4 linked regions of the Macaca fascicularis genome follow. The protein of the gene in region 4 interacts with the protein of the main gene of each other region in a pairwise test. Links are inferred from orthologs where the notes say so. Each region holds a gene or a part of one and is shown on either strand. Other genes may lie near its edges.

Region 1 (4,089 bases), on a different chromosome or scaffold from region 4:
AATGAAGATGAGGGACAAAACTGTCATTACCTCTTCCTTGCAACAAAGTTTTTTGTTTGTTTGTTTGTTTGTTTGAGATGGAGTCTTGCTCTGTCACCCATGCTGGAGTGCGGTGGCACGATCTCGGCTCACTGCAACCTCCACCTCCTGGATTCAAGCCATTCTCCTGGTTCAGCTGCCCCAGTAGCTCGGATTACAGGCACGCACCACTATGCCCAGCTACTTTTTATATTTAGTAGAAACAGGGTTGCACCATGTTGGCCAGGCTGGTCTCGAACTCCTGACCTCGTGATCCGCCTGCCTTGGCCTACCAAAGTGCTGAGATTACAGGCGAGAGCCACCGCGCCCGGCCACAACGAAGAGTTTATCACCAACCTGATGTGCTCTCTTGAGGAATAAGTTTGTGGAACTCTTTTGCATTAATCTTTAATTAAGGCTAAAATCAAACCTTTGGCTATAACCATGTCCAGGTCTTTCTGGGGGAATTCTCAATGGGGGGCGCTAGCAGAGTAATCTGAGTACATCCAATATACCTGATACCTAATGGTTTTCAAATATGTTTCTACTTACCTGTTCAGAAGGCAAGGAAACACAACTAAATAGCAAAGCACCTCTGCAGTGACACAGAAGTGACATTAAGAGACAATTGTGAAGATCTTGCATCCTCAAAATGCATAATTATTCCTGAAATCAAAGTTACAGACTGTCCAATATGACTGATTATGAACAGGAGAGGAATCCATTAAAAGCTAAACCCAAGTTTTGATAATTTGAACCTTTTTCCTCCAGTTTTACTATAACACAGTACTTTTCAGTACCTGACCCCAGCATAAGGAACTAGGAAACTAATTTATAGAAGTAATGCTTCTATAGTAACAGTGAAAATCCACTGATTTACTATTTTAGCAAATGTATAATCTGATATCTGTACTCTAAATATTAGAGATGTAAATTTGTCAGAGGAAGCTTGGTATACAATGAATGCTTGTATTGGAAAAGACGGAACTTGCTGTTTTTACTAATTTTGTATTTCTCTGGACTTAAACTAGGAATTATGTTCTCTTAGCTTCTCTGGGTTTTCCTCTTCAAATGAAATGCTTCTGACCTGTAGAGGTTTAGAAAAGGTTATCCTCAACTAAAATAACTGCTTCAATACAAGGGAAAATTCTGTGGAAATCTTTTGCATTTGACGTTGCTAAACTTAAGTACAATAATGTCACATGTACTTATACAGTAATTGTGGGCACGCCTAAGTCCCTCCCTCTTTCCTAAACCAAATTCCCCAGATCCTAGAAATCCAGCCCTTCTGCCCTCCGGAGGCGCCTTTCCCAACGTAAAGTACAATTTTAAATTTCAGCTCCTGACTAAAATCATGATCCGCAGTCAACTGCTAGAGAATCTGGGCACCCCGGTGCCTCTGGAGCGTGCAGCGGGTGTGGGCAAGGGCAGGGGGAGTGGGCGAAGCTGCTGGTTGGTGCCTGAAATCTGTGCGTTGCCCCTTTAATTGTGTCCCCAGCCCTCGGGCGTTTCTGTCCAACGCCCACGTCAGCAAATACCTTTTGTTTCTCTCACGTTGGGGCTACTTGTTTTAGGGCGCAAAGGAACGGCCTCGAAAGGGGGTCCTTCCCCAGCCGAGAACCAAGAATCTTCCCCCGGCCCGCGCGCGCGACCGGCCGGTGCGCCGCGGCCCGCGGTAAGTGGCGGCGCGCGGCGCCGGCGGAGGGCGGGCGGGCGTCGGGGCTGCCCGGGACCCGCCGCGAGCCTGGCCGCGGGCGGAGGCGCCGCGGGCTCTCACGGCCCGGGCGGCGGCGGTGCTGAGATGCGGGCCCTGGGCGCGCCTCCCCAAGACGTCCCCGGGCCGGGAGCGCGGCGGGAGGCGCCGAGGCGAGCGGGCGCCATTTGCAGCCCGGGGCGCAGCGGCGGCGGCGGCGGCGGCGCCGGCTCCGAGGGGCTGTGGGCGGCCACGGAGGACGCGCGGGCGGCGGCGGCGGGCCGAGCCCGGGGCGGCGGCGGGCGTTGGTGGGCACCGGCTCCCGGCCGCCCCTCCCCGCGCCCGGCCGCGCCGCCCAGCCCGCCAGGCCGGCCCCTCCTGCGCGCCCGGGAGGGGCTGCGGGACAATGGCCGCGCCGTCGCCGCCCGCGCCCGCCTAGCCGCCCGGCCCGGCCCGGGGAAAGGCGGGAAGGCGCGCGGAGCCTCCTGGCGGCGGCGGCGGGAAGGCGGCGGGGACGGCGCCGGGCGTGTCTGGAGCCGTCGAGCGCCGCGGACTCCGGAGGGGCTCGGGCTGCGCGGCGCAAAAACGGGCGGCCGCCGGGGGGGCGCGCGAGGAGGGCAGGGCCGGGGCCGGAGCCGGAGCCTCTGCGGGCGCGGCCAGGGGCGCTGCCGGTGAGCCTGGCTCCCAGGGCAGTAGCCCGAATTTCTCGGTACAGCCTCCATCCTTGGTTTTATGTCAAGATGCGACATCGGGGCTTAGAAAACCGAGGGCTAACTCACCGCGCCTAACCAATGTTGAGCTCCAACTATTTGCTTCTGGACGGAACCGTACATGCTCATCTCTACCCATGCTGACCGCCTCTTTTGTGAGTTAGTCAGCGGCTTGTTCCCTTCCCCTTCAGATGCGCTTATTTATCGCTGATTGTTCCAATGGCCCTACTCCACATCATTCTGAGACGCGTTTGGAAGCGGTAGATTTACACACACACCTGGTGGGCTTCTAACCACACGTCAGTATCACTATGCTTGATAAACCTTTATATTTGCACAACTTTAAATGGATTGCTTTCACCTATATGAATTATTTCACTTAATTTCACATAAAACAACCACTTAGGCTGACGGTAATTCCACTTTGCAAATGAGGGAACACGTGTGAAGCATGGCGTTTCACCTCTAGGCCAGGGTGACATAGCCACCCAGGACCTCCTGTTCCCGTCCTGCCTTCCCTCCTAAGGTACCTCCAGAGGAGTCTTTAGAAGGGCCAATCTTACACAGCGCTTCCCTGCACTGAAAACCTTAACTGATCTTTTTCAGGAAAGCCTCCAAAATCCCCAGCAAGCTTCTGCTCCAGTCTTAATCTCCTCCATGCCTCAGGTATGGATGCATTTGTGGACTGGAGCAAGAGCCCCTCACTGATAAGCAGGGATCAGATGTCTTTATTCCTGGGAACCTCTCTGGCCACACAAGTGGCAACTGGGAAGTGAGAATCTGGCTTAGGGCCCTTGACCAAATGGGTGTCTGGGTGGATTGTGCTCAAAAATGTCAGCAGGAGGCATAATGAGTAGGGACTCCAGGAAGGAGGCCAAGCCACTAACCCTTATCTCCAAGCCCTGAAATCACCAGCTTTGCTGTTGATAATGATTTGAGGCCATGAAAAACTTTGTAAGATAGAGTAATATTGATTCATCCTGTATCATTTAAATATAATTTTTAGATACAACTATGTCTAATAGATTTAACTCAGTGACACAATGATATGTTAATCATATTTAAAGGATTTGATGTGTTTGATTCCCTTGAATGAAGCTTTTGTTACTTTTGTGCTCAAAATTGGTCAGTGGTTCCCCATCTTACGCAGTTTAAAAGCCAAAAGCTCCATAATAGTCTATGCAGCCTTACAGCATCTGGTCTCACTATGTCCTACTTCTCTCATGATTTGCTTTCCCTTTCTGACTTCATATCCCATTGCTTCCCCGCTGCTCACCTCAGGGCCTTTGCGCTTGCTTTTCCCTTTGCCTGAAATACTGTTTCCCCAGACACCCACATGACTCTTACTTCCTTTGGACTTTACCCAAATACCATCTTCTCAATGAGGCTTTCCCCAACTATAGTTTTGATTCTCTTAAGTGTTTTTATTCTAAATCTTTTCTGTCTCATGCCATTTGTGCAGCTATAAAAATACTTTGGGACTGGGTAATTACACAGAACAGAAATTTATTTCTCACACTTCTGGAGGCTGGGAAGTCCAGGCAGTTTGGTGCCTAGTGAGGGCTGCTCTTTGCTTCCAAGATGGCACCGCGTTGCTGCATCCTCTGGATGGGAGGACTGCTGTGTCTTCACGTGGCAGAAGGGATAGAAGGGCAAGAGGGGCCAAAC
Region 2 (3,569 bases), on a different chromosome or scaffold from region 4:
GGTGAGAGCGAAACAGAGAGACCTAGAAAACCTGTATATTACCCAAGAGAGACTGAGATGAGACTTTTTTTCACTGACAGGATTAAATGCTTTCAGCTATGAATCAGAATAAGGGCTGAAGAACAGGATAAGCTCAATTACAGAGAGCTGAGCAAGATAATTTGTAGTTTTTGTTCACGAATTTCACTGTTTAAACTCTGACCTTTATTAGAAATCAGCAAAACTTGGTTCTCATTCTAACCTCACCACTAAGTAAATAATTTTGCATATGAATTAAATAAGAAGTGACCTTAGTTCTTAAATTTCTTAAATAGTAAAATGGGTTTTACTGTGGTGCTTTTTAATTCTGAAGTTTTAATTTTAATGATTTTTCCTTAATATTATACCCTTTCATGTTTCTGTTATTAACTACACATTTCGGAATTAGAGAAAAATTCAAATGGAAGATCATGAATCACTTCAATGGGAGCAAAAAGTGGTAACTATTATTTTCTCAATTATATTTGCTCTGTTTGCCTGTGAGCTCTGAGAACTCTAGAGCTTCGTGTCCTATACTACATACTTCATGGAGGTACACTGTGGTTACTCAATTTAAGTTAAATGAATAAATAAATGAATTCAGACTGACCCAGTAATAAACTGAAGGCAATTTTATTCCGTTATGTATCAGCTCTCCTTAATGGAATGGATTGGCCAAAATGGGATCCATTTCAATGTGCCTGGCAACACGTGAAGCCACAGGAAAGAAATAATTGAGACCAGAAATGGAAGTGGTGGTGGAAGAGTTGGTAGTTTAAAAGTCTCAGACAGTATTAAATTTGCTCTGTGTTTTAAAGTACGCACATTAAAAGTAACATAGGCAAAAACCCAAAGTAAATATTTCACATCACGAGGCTTTGTAATGCTCAATTTTAAGCAAAGAATGCAGTACTATCTCTGAATAAATATGCACTGTGTTTATATATATTAAGAGTCATAAATCCCAGTTTTATACCAGAGAAAATGAAAGGCTTGAGAAGTAACTTGACTAAAGTCATACATTTGGGATTTGAACCCAAGATCGCATGGCTTCAAGATTAATGGTCTTAACATTATGGTGCCTTGAAAACTGTAAAGGATTCTTCTAATTAGAAAGCACTTAACTTCTAGGTAATGTAGAGCCATTAAATAGATGAATAAAAATCAGCTGTATTCCACTGAAATATTATTCATCAAAGAGAGCAACATAACAAAGAATATACTTACTCATTCCTGAGCACTCTCTGTCACCATCCCATACATTAGAAACAGCATGTCCCGTCAGCAGGAGATTAATTAAACTTTGGCTATTAATAAATATTAAAAAGCAATTAAATATGAATATAACTAGTTGCCAAATCAAACAATTCCTATAGCAAGGTATAAAGTAATGACTTTTCACATTAAATTATGTAAGAATTTACAAAGTTAGGGAAAACCTTACATGTTCCATTTTATATATTCGGCCTTGCTAAATGTATCACTAAGTATATCAGCACAGTGGTATTTAGTGTTCTACATATTCACATACATTTAACAACTTTACCTAACATATATTTAAATGGATAAAAAATGATAGACTAATAATTTACTTAATATTTACAATCTTTAAAAATGAATATATAATTATTAATATTTTGTCTTTGATGAAAGATACATGAATTTTCATCTTTGAGGCAGAAAGGTCTAAAAAGGACTCATGTATTAGAGTAGGTTAACTATCACTGTTTCATTGATTTTTGGTAAAAATAGCCATAAAAAGCTTGAGAAGGAGGGTGGTCCGAGAGGAAAACTGGGAATTTTTTTCTCCCAAGCAGAGAAGCATTTACAAAGATATAATTATTTCTAAGTCAAAATGAATAAATTTTATCATTAAAAAATCATAAATGGATTTGTTAAAATACCTCCCCACTGTTATCTTAAAACAAAATATTTGCCACAATAAATACAACGCATACATAAAATGAAATTAACATTTCATAATCAAGCAAACAATGCATAAAACAAAGAAGTGCTCAAATCCATAGATGTTATACTGTTAACACCACTGACAAGCAAAATTACCTGACTCAGTCATGTTTTATCGTAAGTCAGGTTTCTAAAAACTAGAGTTCACATGAGGAGACGAGATTTTAGTTAATTACCTGCCATGTCCATATACAGGATCTATCAAGGGTTCACTTGCATCTTCAATTTCATTTTTTATGTTTTCAATGCCCTAAAGAAACAAAGAACTCATTGACTTATTTCAAAAAACGAAAATGAAAATTATGATAGTTTAAAAACTGACTAGTTTACACTATAAACTAATACAATTATTTAAGTAACTTTTCTACCATGAGTAACTCAGATTTGAAGTGGGGGGACATTTGAGATAACTGTAAAAAGTAGTTCCTCAAATATCTTTTATTTTCTTTCATGGGCTCTATATAAAGAACACTCATGGATGAAATATGTACTGTTGGTTAAAGGGGCAAGGAGAGAGAATTAACTTTTAATCGGAGAAAGGAGAAATTATTTAATAAATGAATTATTTAAAAGTTAAATGAGTATTAACCTGTTAAGGAAACTGATTTTTTTTAGATCATGTAAAAACTTATTGCAGTAAATACATACACAATGAATACTGATAGAGATATAACATTAAATAACTTGCATTTTAATTATTTAACTGGTACATAAAATGGAAGGTTTACTTCTGATTTTAAGTATTACTTCACAAATATTGGTCATTCAAATGTATACTTACAAAATGCAAATTAGAAGGCCAGGAAGTGCCTTCTTTTCTTAAAAACCAATTTCCTGATATTTTCTAAACCTCCAGAAGGGCACTCAGCTCCCAAAAGTTCTAGATACTGGGTAAGTACCAGAAGACCTACTAATTGTAACCTCATCAATTCCAAAAAGGACAAAGATAAACTGCCATTCATTGTTCTATTCACTTAACTTTAGCCGTTGGTTCTATCATTTCTAACAATTAAACAGATGATTAATTAACAACCAAGATTTTTAATGAATGACTAAATCTCGCAGGGGGAAACAAAGAAGCATGAGCTCTTGCATGTGCCATCCTCGTAAACAAAACAAATCAGGCTATGATAATGTCAAGATGAATACTATCAACAAGTGACACAATCACTAATGAGGAAGCGGATATCATTTTAAAGACCAGGTCAAGGAAGGACAACTTGCATGATAATTTATTGTCTGTAAAGAAGAAGAAACAGGAGATATCAAACGTTTTGAGCATTATAAAGTTAGAGAATACTGAACAGTCAAGAAGAACTTATAAGAAACCAGTCATCTTAGATACCACTATCACTGCTACTCCCAACATCTACACAACTAAGCACTTTTGGTTCTCTTATTTATACTTAATAATCCAAATAAGTATTTATTTACATTTCTAAATATGCTCCCTTTCTTTTCCACTCCATGACCTGTCCTAGTTTAGGCTTCTCTTATTTCAATACCCACTTTTCTAGTTTTCCTGACTCTAGTCTTGTACTACAAACACCAACTCTTATCCATCACAACTCCCTATCCCAATT
Region 3 (3,569 bases), on a different chromosome or scaffold from region 4:
TGGAGTGACAGATCAAGACTTTGTTTTTTAAAAACAAAACAAACCAAACTATATGAGAACTGATGTGTATTTTATAAGAATTTTTAAACAATTGTGAAAAAAGGAAGAAACTAGAAAATTCGCCTAGAGAAAGACCGAGCATGTAGAGATCTGAAAGCTGTAAGGAAAAGAATAGATTAAAATAGCTCAAGCAGTTTTGAACCAGTAGGTTATATCATCCTGGTGGTACTGACATGTTTATCACCCTGTGAAATACATTGAGTGTCAGGAAAAGATGCCTCATTTATCTAAAACTAGCTTTGATAAATGTAGGATTATTTTATAGTTCAGTTTTCTTAAGTGGTAAGAAAGAGAGGCTCACTTGTAACACAGTGTAGCATGGAAGCCAGGAATGCTGAATGTTCTGTAGTGCTCAAGGAAACTCCACTAAGAAAAGGTCCCACGTGTTAATGGTGCTGAGACTGAGAAACCCTAATCTAATACACAGAATAAAGAGTTGAGAATAAAATTTTCTTTGTATTTAACAACCATCTGTGATTCTCAAATTACATACAGTAAAGAACAATGTTTTTGTTTTAATTTCCAATCCCTTATGGACCAATAACTTTTGTAAAATACACTGAAAATTTCATGGCAGTATCAAATTGCTATATACCAAACATTCCATTTCTGTACTTCTTGCTTCATTTTTATGCCCTTGTAAACAAACAAAAGATTTCTGTACTTCTTGCATATGGGTAGCAAATAATTTGTAGATTAGCACCAATCTGTGGACATTTTGAATAGCACTATTTAGAGCTTTTGTCTCTGAATATTCTGTAATAAACTTACATGATTTTTGAAATTAGGGAAAAGTTTAAAAACATTCATTGAGTATTTATGACATTTGGCAATAGGTAGTTGACTGGTGAAAAACAAATGCAAAATTTGTTAAAACTTATAAAATTAAAATATTTGCTTTTTGGTTTTGTTTTTATGTCAGAATACCTGTGGAACATGTGTAGATAGGACAAAGTTGATAAGTCGTTTGCTAGCATTTGCCTACTCACCATACCATACCCCAGGCTGATGGCTTCTTATGGAAGTACATCTTCCTGTGGATCCCAGACACTGCCTCAGAATCCTCCTTAACATAGTACTTAAAGAAGTCCTATTACTTTAAGGCAGTTGGTATCAGATATGAAAGTTATCATCCTAAACTATGTTCTGAGAGTCTTTTGTATATAATACTGTCTTTATCTTAACCTTATGTTCTTTTAATGTTTTTTTCAAACAATTCTTCTGATTTATCAAAGTAATTAAAAATCTCAAACCAAAACTTTTCATGTGCTGGTTTCTTGTCTCAAGTATGCTATTCAAAATCTTAATTATGGTAAAAGAAATTTATATCTTCCTTTTATTGCTGTACTGTGTTGAGAATGTGTCTTGGGCCAGGTGCGGTGGCTCACGCCTGTAATCCCCAGCACTTTGGGAGGCCGAGGCAGGTGGATCACCTGAGGTTAGGAGTTCGAGACCAGCCTGGCTGACATGGTAAAACCCCGTCTCTACTTAAAAAATGCAAAACTTAGCCAGGAGCGGTGGCGCGCCCCTGTAATCCCAGCTATTTGGGAGGCTCAGGTGGGAGAATTGCTTGTACCCAGGAGGCAGAGGCTGTAGTGAGCCGAGGTTACACCACTGCACTCTAGCTTGGGCAACAGGGCGAGACCCCCTCTCAAAAAAAAAAGAATGTATTTTAAACTGAAGGGAGACCCCCCACCTCAAAAAAAAAAATGTACCTTAAACTTAACAGCACAGAATGTAACTTACTGTTTTCACTTACAGTAAGAACAATCACTGATTTAGGGAAGAAAGAAAATCAAGTGACTATAAAGGTATACCTAGGTCATGTTTGTTGAAAGTAAAGTCTTTGAAGAACTATGACCTGTTTTGTTTGTTTGTTTTGTTTTGTTTTGTTTTTTTGGAGACGGAGTCTTGCTCTGTCACCCAGGCTGGAGTGCAATGGCACAATCTCAGCTCACTGCAACCTCCGCCTCCCAGGTTCAAGCGACTCTCCTACCTCCTACCAAGTAGCTGGGACTAGAGGTGTGCATCACCACGCCCAGCTAATTTTTGTATTTTTAGTAGAGACAGGGTTTCACCATGTTGGCCTGGATGGTCTCAGTCTCTTGACCTCGTGATCCACCAGCCTCAGCCTCCCAAAGTGATGGAATTACAGGTATGAGCCACTGCACCCAGCCGTGATCTGTTTTTATATAACTTTTTAGTTTCTTTCATTCATTTCACGAATATTTGTTAACCACCATCTGTGTGCCAGGCACCATTCTATATGATGAAGATTCATCAGAACAAAACAGATAAAATTTTTTCCCCTGTTCAGAGATTACATGGATTTTTTTTTAAACAGCCTAAAAGACTCATTAAGGTGTCTAGACTTAACAGCACAGAATTAATATGTCACATGGATTTTCTTTGTGGCAGCATTAATATTATGAGGTGTGAAATTAAACAGTGAGGTGGTGCTAGATGTGTACTGAAGTAAGAGTCACAAAATTGAACTACTTTTCCAGACTGCTTCCTATTTATTTGAAGTTCAAGCCTATGCTACCATGTAGGAATGTAGCCAGTATAAAATATTAAAAGGAATACAAAAACACTATGAAAAATATAAATTACCATATATAATCAAACTTTTGTTTTTTGTCAGAAACCCTAATGATGAAAAATATAGATCTATCCGGATTGGAAACACAGCTTTTTCTACTAGACTCTTGCCTGTCAGAGGAGCTGTTGAATGTTTATTTGAAATGGGCTTTGAAGAGGTAAGTATGTTCGAGGATTTCCTCTCCCCTCTTCACGCACAAAGCAGTCGTTATCATGTTGGTGAATAATTGTTTGAATAAGATAATGTTTTTTAATTTATCATTTTGGGAATCAGTAGAAATAGTTGTTTCTTCACTGATTGGACATTTAAAAATCACAGCAAGTATAGTTTAAAATTTCAGTAAAGTATAACAACGCTCCACAGAGAAATTCTTACGAGTCTTAATTCTTGAGAAGAAGGGAGGGTCAAACATGCAACCCCAGGACCAAATGTGGTTCACTTTAGGCTTTTAGCAAAAACCTGATTTGTGAGCACACGTGAATACTAATAGATCTAGCTACCTGTCTCTAGTAGGAAATGAAAAGAGTCTGACGTAAACAGAAAAACTGAGTTCAGTTACCACACAGAAGGGGTTTCTTCTGTGACAGGAGAGGAGTCTCAGTATGTTTTTTTGTTTACTTCAAACGAATATTTTGGTGTTACCTTTTGGAATCTTGTGGTGTAGTTTAATTTTATGACACATTGAAAGTAGTTATTAAGATTCTGAATTTTCTTTATGTTTATATCCTTAACTAGTTCTCCTTTGTAGAGTGTTGAAAGAATTTGAACAGGTTACAGAGACTCAGTAGTCAGTAGTAGTTAGAATAGGCAATCGTAGAAATTGTTAAAGAGAGATGCTGAGCTGCTATGTAAGATTCAGTTTCCTTCGTGCCTCTCTGCTTGCCTCCCCAGGTTCCATTTCAGTCCC
Region 4 (2,684 bases):
GCCTGTAATCCCAGCTACTCCAGCGGCTGAGGCAGGAGAATCTTTTGAACCGAGGCGGTGGAGGTCGCAGTGAGCCGAGATTGTGCCACTGCACTCCAGCCTGGACAACAAGAGCAAAACTCCATCTCAAAAACAAACAACAACAAAAAAACAGAGCGAAAAAGGGAAGGGGGAGGAAGCAGACAATGACACCAGAGAGGAAGGCCCAAGTCAGACCCATTTTCTAGAGCAGGGGGAAGCCACGATGGTGACAGTTACAGGGGAAAAGACGTGGTCTGTGGATCTTTTAGAAAGGTAAACTTGGCTGGGTGTGGTGGCTCACACCTGTAACCTCAATAATTTGGGAGGCAAGGCAGGAGGGACTGTTTGGGCCCAGGAGTTCAAAACCAGCCTGGACAACATAGACTGTGTCTCTATTCCCACCCACCAGCCACCAAACCAAAAAAAGTGAACTCATCTGGGTGTTGGGTTTAGGTATCTGGAAGTTCGTTTGTTCATTTTTGTTTCTGTTTTTTTTTTTTTTTTGAGACGGAGTCTCGCTCTGCTGCCCAGGCTGGAGTGCAGTGGCGCGATCTCGGCTCACAGCAAGCACTGCCTACCAGGTTCACGGTGTTCTCCTGCCTCAGCCTCTCCAATAGCTGGGACTACAGGCGCCCGCCACCACACCCGGCTAATTTTTTGTATTTTTAGTAGAGACGGGGTTTTACCATGTTAGCCAGAATGGTCTCAATCTCCTGACCTCGTGATCCACCCGCCTCTGCCTCCCAAAGTGCTGGGATTACAGGCGTGAGCCACTGTGCCCGGCCTTTGTTTCTGTTCTTTTTGAGACAGTCTCACTCTGTCACCCAGGCTGGAGTGCAGTGGGGCAATCTCAGTTTACTGGAATTTCTGCCTCCTGGGTTCAAGCACGTCTCATGCCTCTGCCTCCCGAGTAGCTGGGACTACAGTGGCCTGCCACCATGCTCAGTTACTTTTTCTACTTATAGTAGAGACAGGTTTTTGCCATGTTGACCAGGCTGATCTAAAACTCCTGACCAAGTAGTCCGCCTGCCTTAGTCTCCCAAACTGCTGGGATTACAGGCACGAGCCACTGTGCCCTGCCTGGGTATCTGGAAGCTTTCATGCAACTCTACTATTGTCTACATTTGACCATTTTCGCATTAAAGCAGAAAGTGCTTTTCAGTTATCTGCCTCATGATGGAAAGTGGACTGCGGGACTGTGCAGTGGCAGAGGCCCAGGAAGAGGCTGCCAGGGAGCTGGAGTGCAGGAGGCGCTGAGTGGGAAGAGCAGACAGGACGAGGGATGGACCCCAGCAGGTCCCCAGGGCCTGGGGCTGAAGCAACCCCAGGCTAGTCCTTGCAGAGATTGGGGAGGACTGAGGAGGTCTGTTCTAAGTCTTAGAAGTCTAGTCTAGAGAGCACTTTGATGGAGAGATTAAGCCAGCCATGGAGTGTGGCATTCAGAGAGGCCTGGGCTGGCTACATAGATGTGGGGGTTCCCATACAGACTGAAGGCCCCAGGACATTATGAGGGAGGGCTGAGTGCAGATGAAGAACAGGATCGAGCAGGAGGAGCCGGCAAAGGACTGAGAAGTGAGGAGAATGGGCAGACAGCAGGGTCCTGAGCCAAGACCGGTAGGCACTTCACCAAGGACCCAGAGGAACCTGCTTGCAGCTGGGGGGTCACTCCCCCACTCTTCCTGTGAACCTTCAAGGGCAAGGTGGAGCCTCACAGAGCAGAGTCATCCCAGAGCCAACTGGGGCACAGCTGTCCTGGGTGATGTCATGCCACCTTACAGACATTTACGCAGCACCATCTGTATGTGGAGCCAGAGCCAGAGCCCCAGCCCAGGACCCTGAGGCAGCAGGCAGACACATACATTACCAGTTGTATGACCCTGGGGATGACAGGCTGCTCTAAGCTTCTGGTGTCTTCTTCTGTGGGAGGTGATGTTGACAGCACCCACATCTCACAAGATGGTTGGGAAGACTGAGAAACCGTGGGGATCAACAGGTCACAGGAAGCATGGGGGCGTGGGGGAAGCATGTGCTTAGTCCTGCTTTCCAGGCCTAGAACAATTCCTACATGTTATGGACTCTGGTGCCCACAGGGAACAAAAATGGTGGCTGCCATGGCTCCCTCTGCCCTTGGGATCACACCTGCAAAAGCTGAGGGTTCTCCTGGCCCAGCTGCTGGAGCAGAGCGGGCAGCAGCGCAGGGTTCTGCTGAATCACCTGCCGCATGTTCTGGAACTGGGGCTGGTCCCGCAGGAACTCCAGGGGGTTCTCTCCTGCTGATAGTAGGAAGGGGTGCAGTCAGACACCATGCCGGGCTCCTAGGAGCACTGCGGGGTGGAGTGTGATGTGAGTCAGGTACCTGAAGGGCAGATGCAGCACGTGCACACCCACCTGCTTCCGTGGCCGGCTGCTCGGATACCTGGCTCTCCTGGACAGAACCGTGTTCCGGCTCGGGGCTCCCAGGAATTCCCTGTCAGGGGTCCTGTTTAGTTCTAATGCACAGACCTCCTGCTGCCACCCTCCTCCATGCCCTGGCTGGACACAGATGAGGCCTCGGCCCTGCCCTCCAGAGGCCCACCCACCACTCACATCCAGCCTCCTGTGGGAAGCCTTTAGTGGCTAGAATCACTACCCAAAGGCTCTTCAGGGCAGGTTTTGCCTTCCCA

The links.
Region 1: the proteins of RAD23A (region 4) and ZBTB8A interact in binary tests that used the Homo sapiens proteins (3 or more experiments, as listed by UniProt). The two-hybrid records come from large-scale screens. The link is inferred for Macaca fascicularis from reciprocal best matches to the Homo sapiens genes RAD23A and ZBTB8A.
Region 2: the proteins of RAD23A (region 4) and MINDY3 interact in binary tests that used the Homo sapiens proteins (3 or more experiments, as listed by UniProt). The two-hybrid records come from large-scale screens. The link is inferred for Macaca fascicularis from reciprocal best matches to the Homo sapiens genes RAD23A and MINDY3.
Region 3: the proteins of RAD23A (region 4) and NGLY1 interact in binary tests that used the Homo sapiens proteins (3 or more experiments, as listed by UniProt). The two-hybrid records come from large-scale screens. The link is inferred for Macaca fascicularis from reciprocal best matches to the Homo sapiens genes RAD23A and NGLY1.

The regions. Positions count from the first base shown.
Region 1 is NC_088375.1:202,482,213-202,486,301, reverse strand, and holds the start of ZBTB8A (zinc finger and BTB domain-containing protein 8A), read left to right. Parts: upstream 1-1,261; 5' UTR 1,262-1,333; intron 1,334-1,561; exon of another isoform or gene 1,562-1,592; 5' UTR 1,593-1,693; intron 1,694-2,221; exon of another isoform or gene 2,222-2,576; intron 2,577-4,089. UniProt on the Homo sapiens protein: May be involved in transcriptional regulation.
Region 2 is NC_088383.1:16,727,337-16,730,905, forward strand, and holds part of MINDY3 (ubiquitin carboxyl-terminal hydrolase MINDY-3), read right to left. Parts: intron 2,237-3,569; coding exon 2,163-2,236; intron 1,326-2,162; coding exon 1,246-1,325; intron 1-1,245. UniProt on the Homo sapiens protein: Hydrolase that can remove 'Lys-48'-linked conjugated ubiquitin from proteins.
Region 3 is NC_088376.1:22,570,212-22,573,780, forward strand, and holds part of NGLY1 (peptide-N(4)-(N-acetyl-beta-glucosaminyl)asparagine amidase), read left to right. Parts: intron 1-2,704; coding exon 2,705-2,819; intron 2,820-3,569. UniProt on the Homo sapiens protein: Specifically deglycosylates the denatured form of N-linked glycoproteins in the cytoplasm and assists their proteasome-mediated degradation. Cleaves the beta-aspartyl-glucosamine (GlcNAc) of the glycan and the amide side chain of Asn, converting Asn to Asp.
Region 4 is NC_088393.1:13,348,088-13,350,771, reverse strand, and holds part of RAD23A (UV excision repair protein RAD23 homolog A), read right to left. Parts: intron 2,489-2,684; coding exon 2,410-2,488; intron 2,295-2,409; coding exon 2,161-2,294; intron 2,071-2,160; exon of another isoform or gene 1,991-2,070; coding exon 1,886-1,990; intron 1-1,885. UniProt on the Homo sapiens protein: Multiubiquitin chain receptor involved in modulation of proteasomal degradation. Binds to 'Lys-48'-linked polyubiquitin chains in a length-dependent manner and with a lower affinity to 'Lys-63'-linked polyubiquitin chains.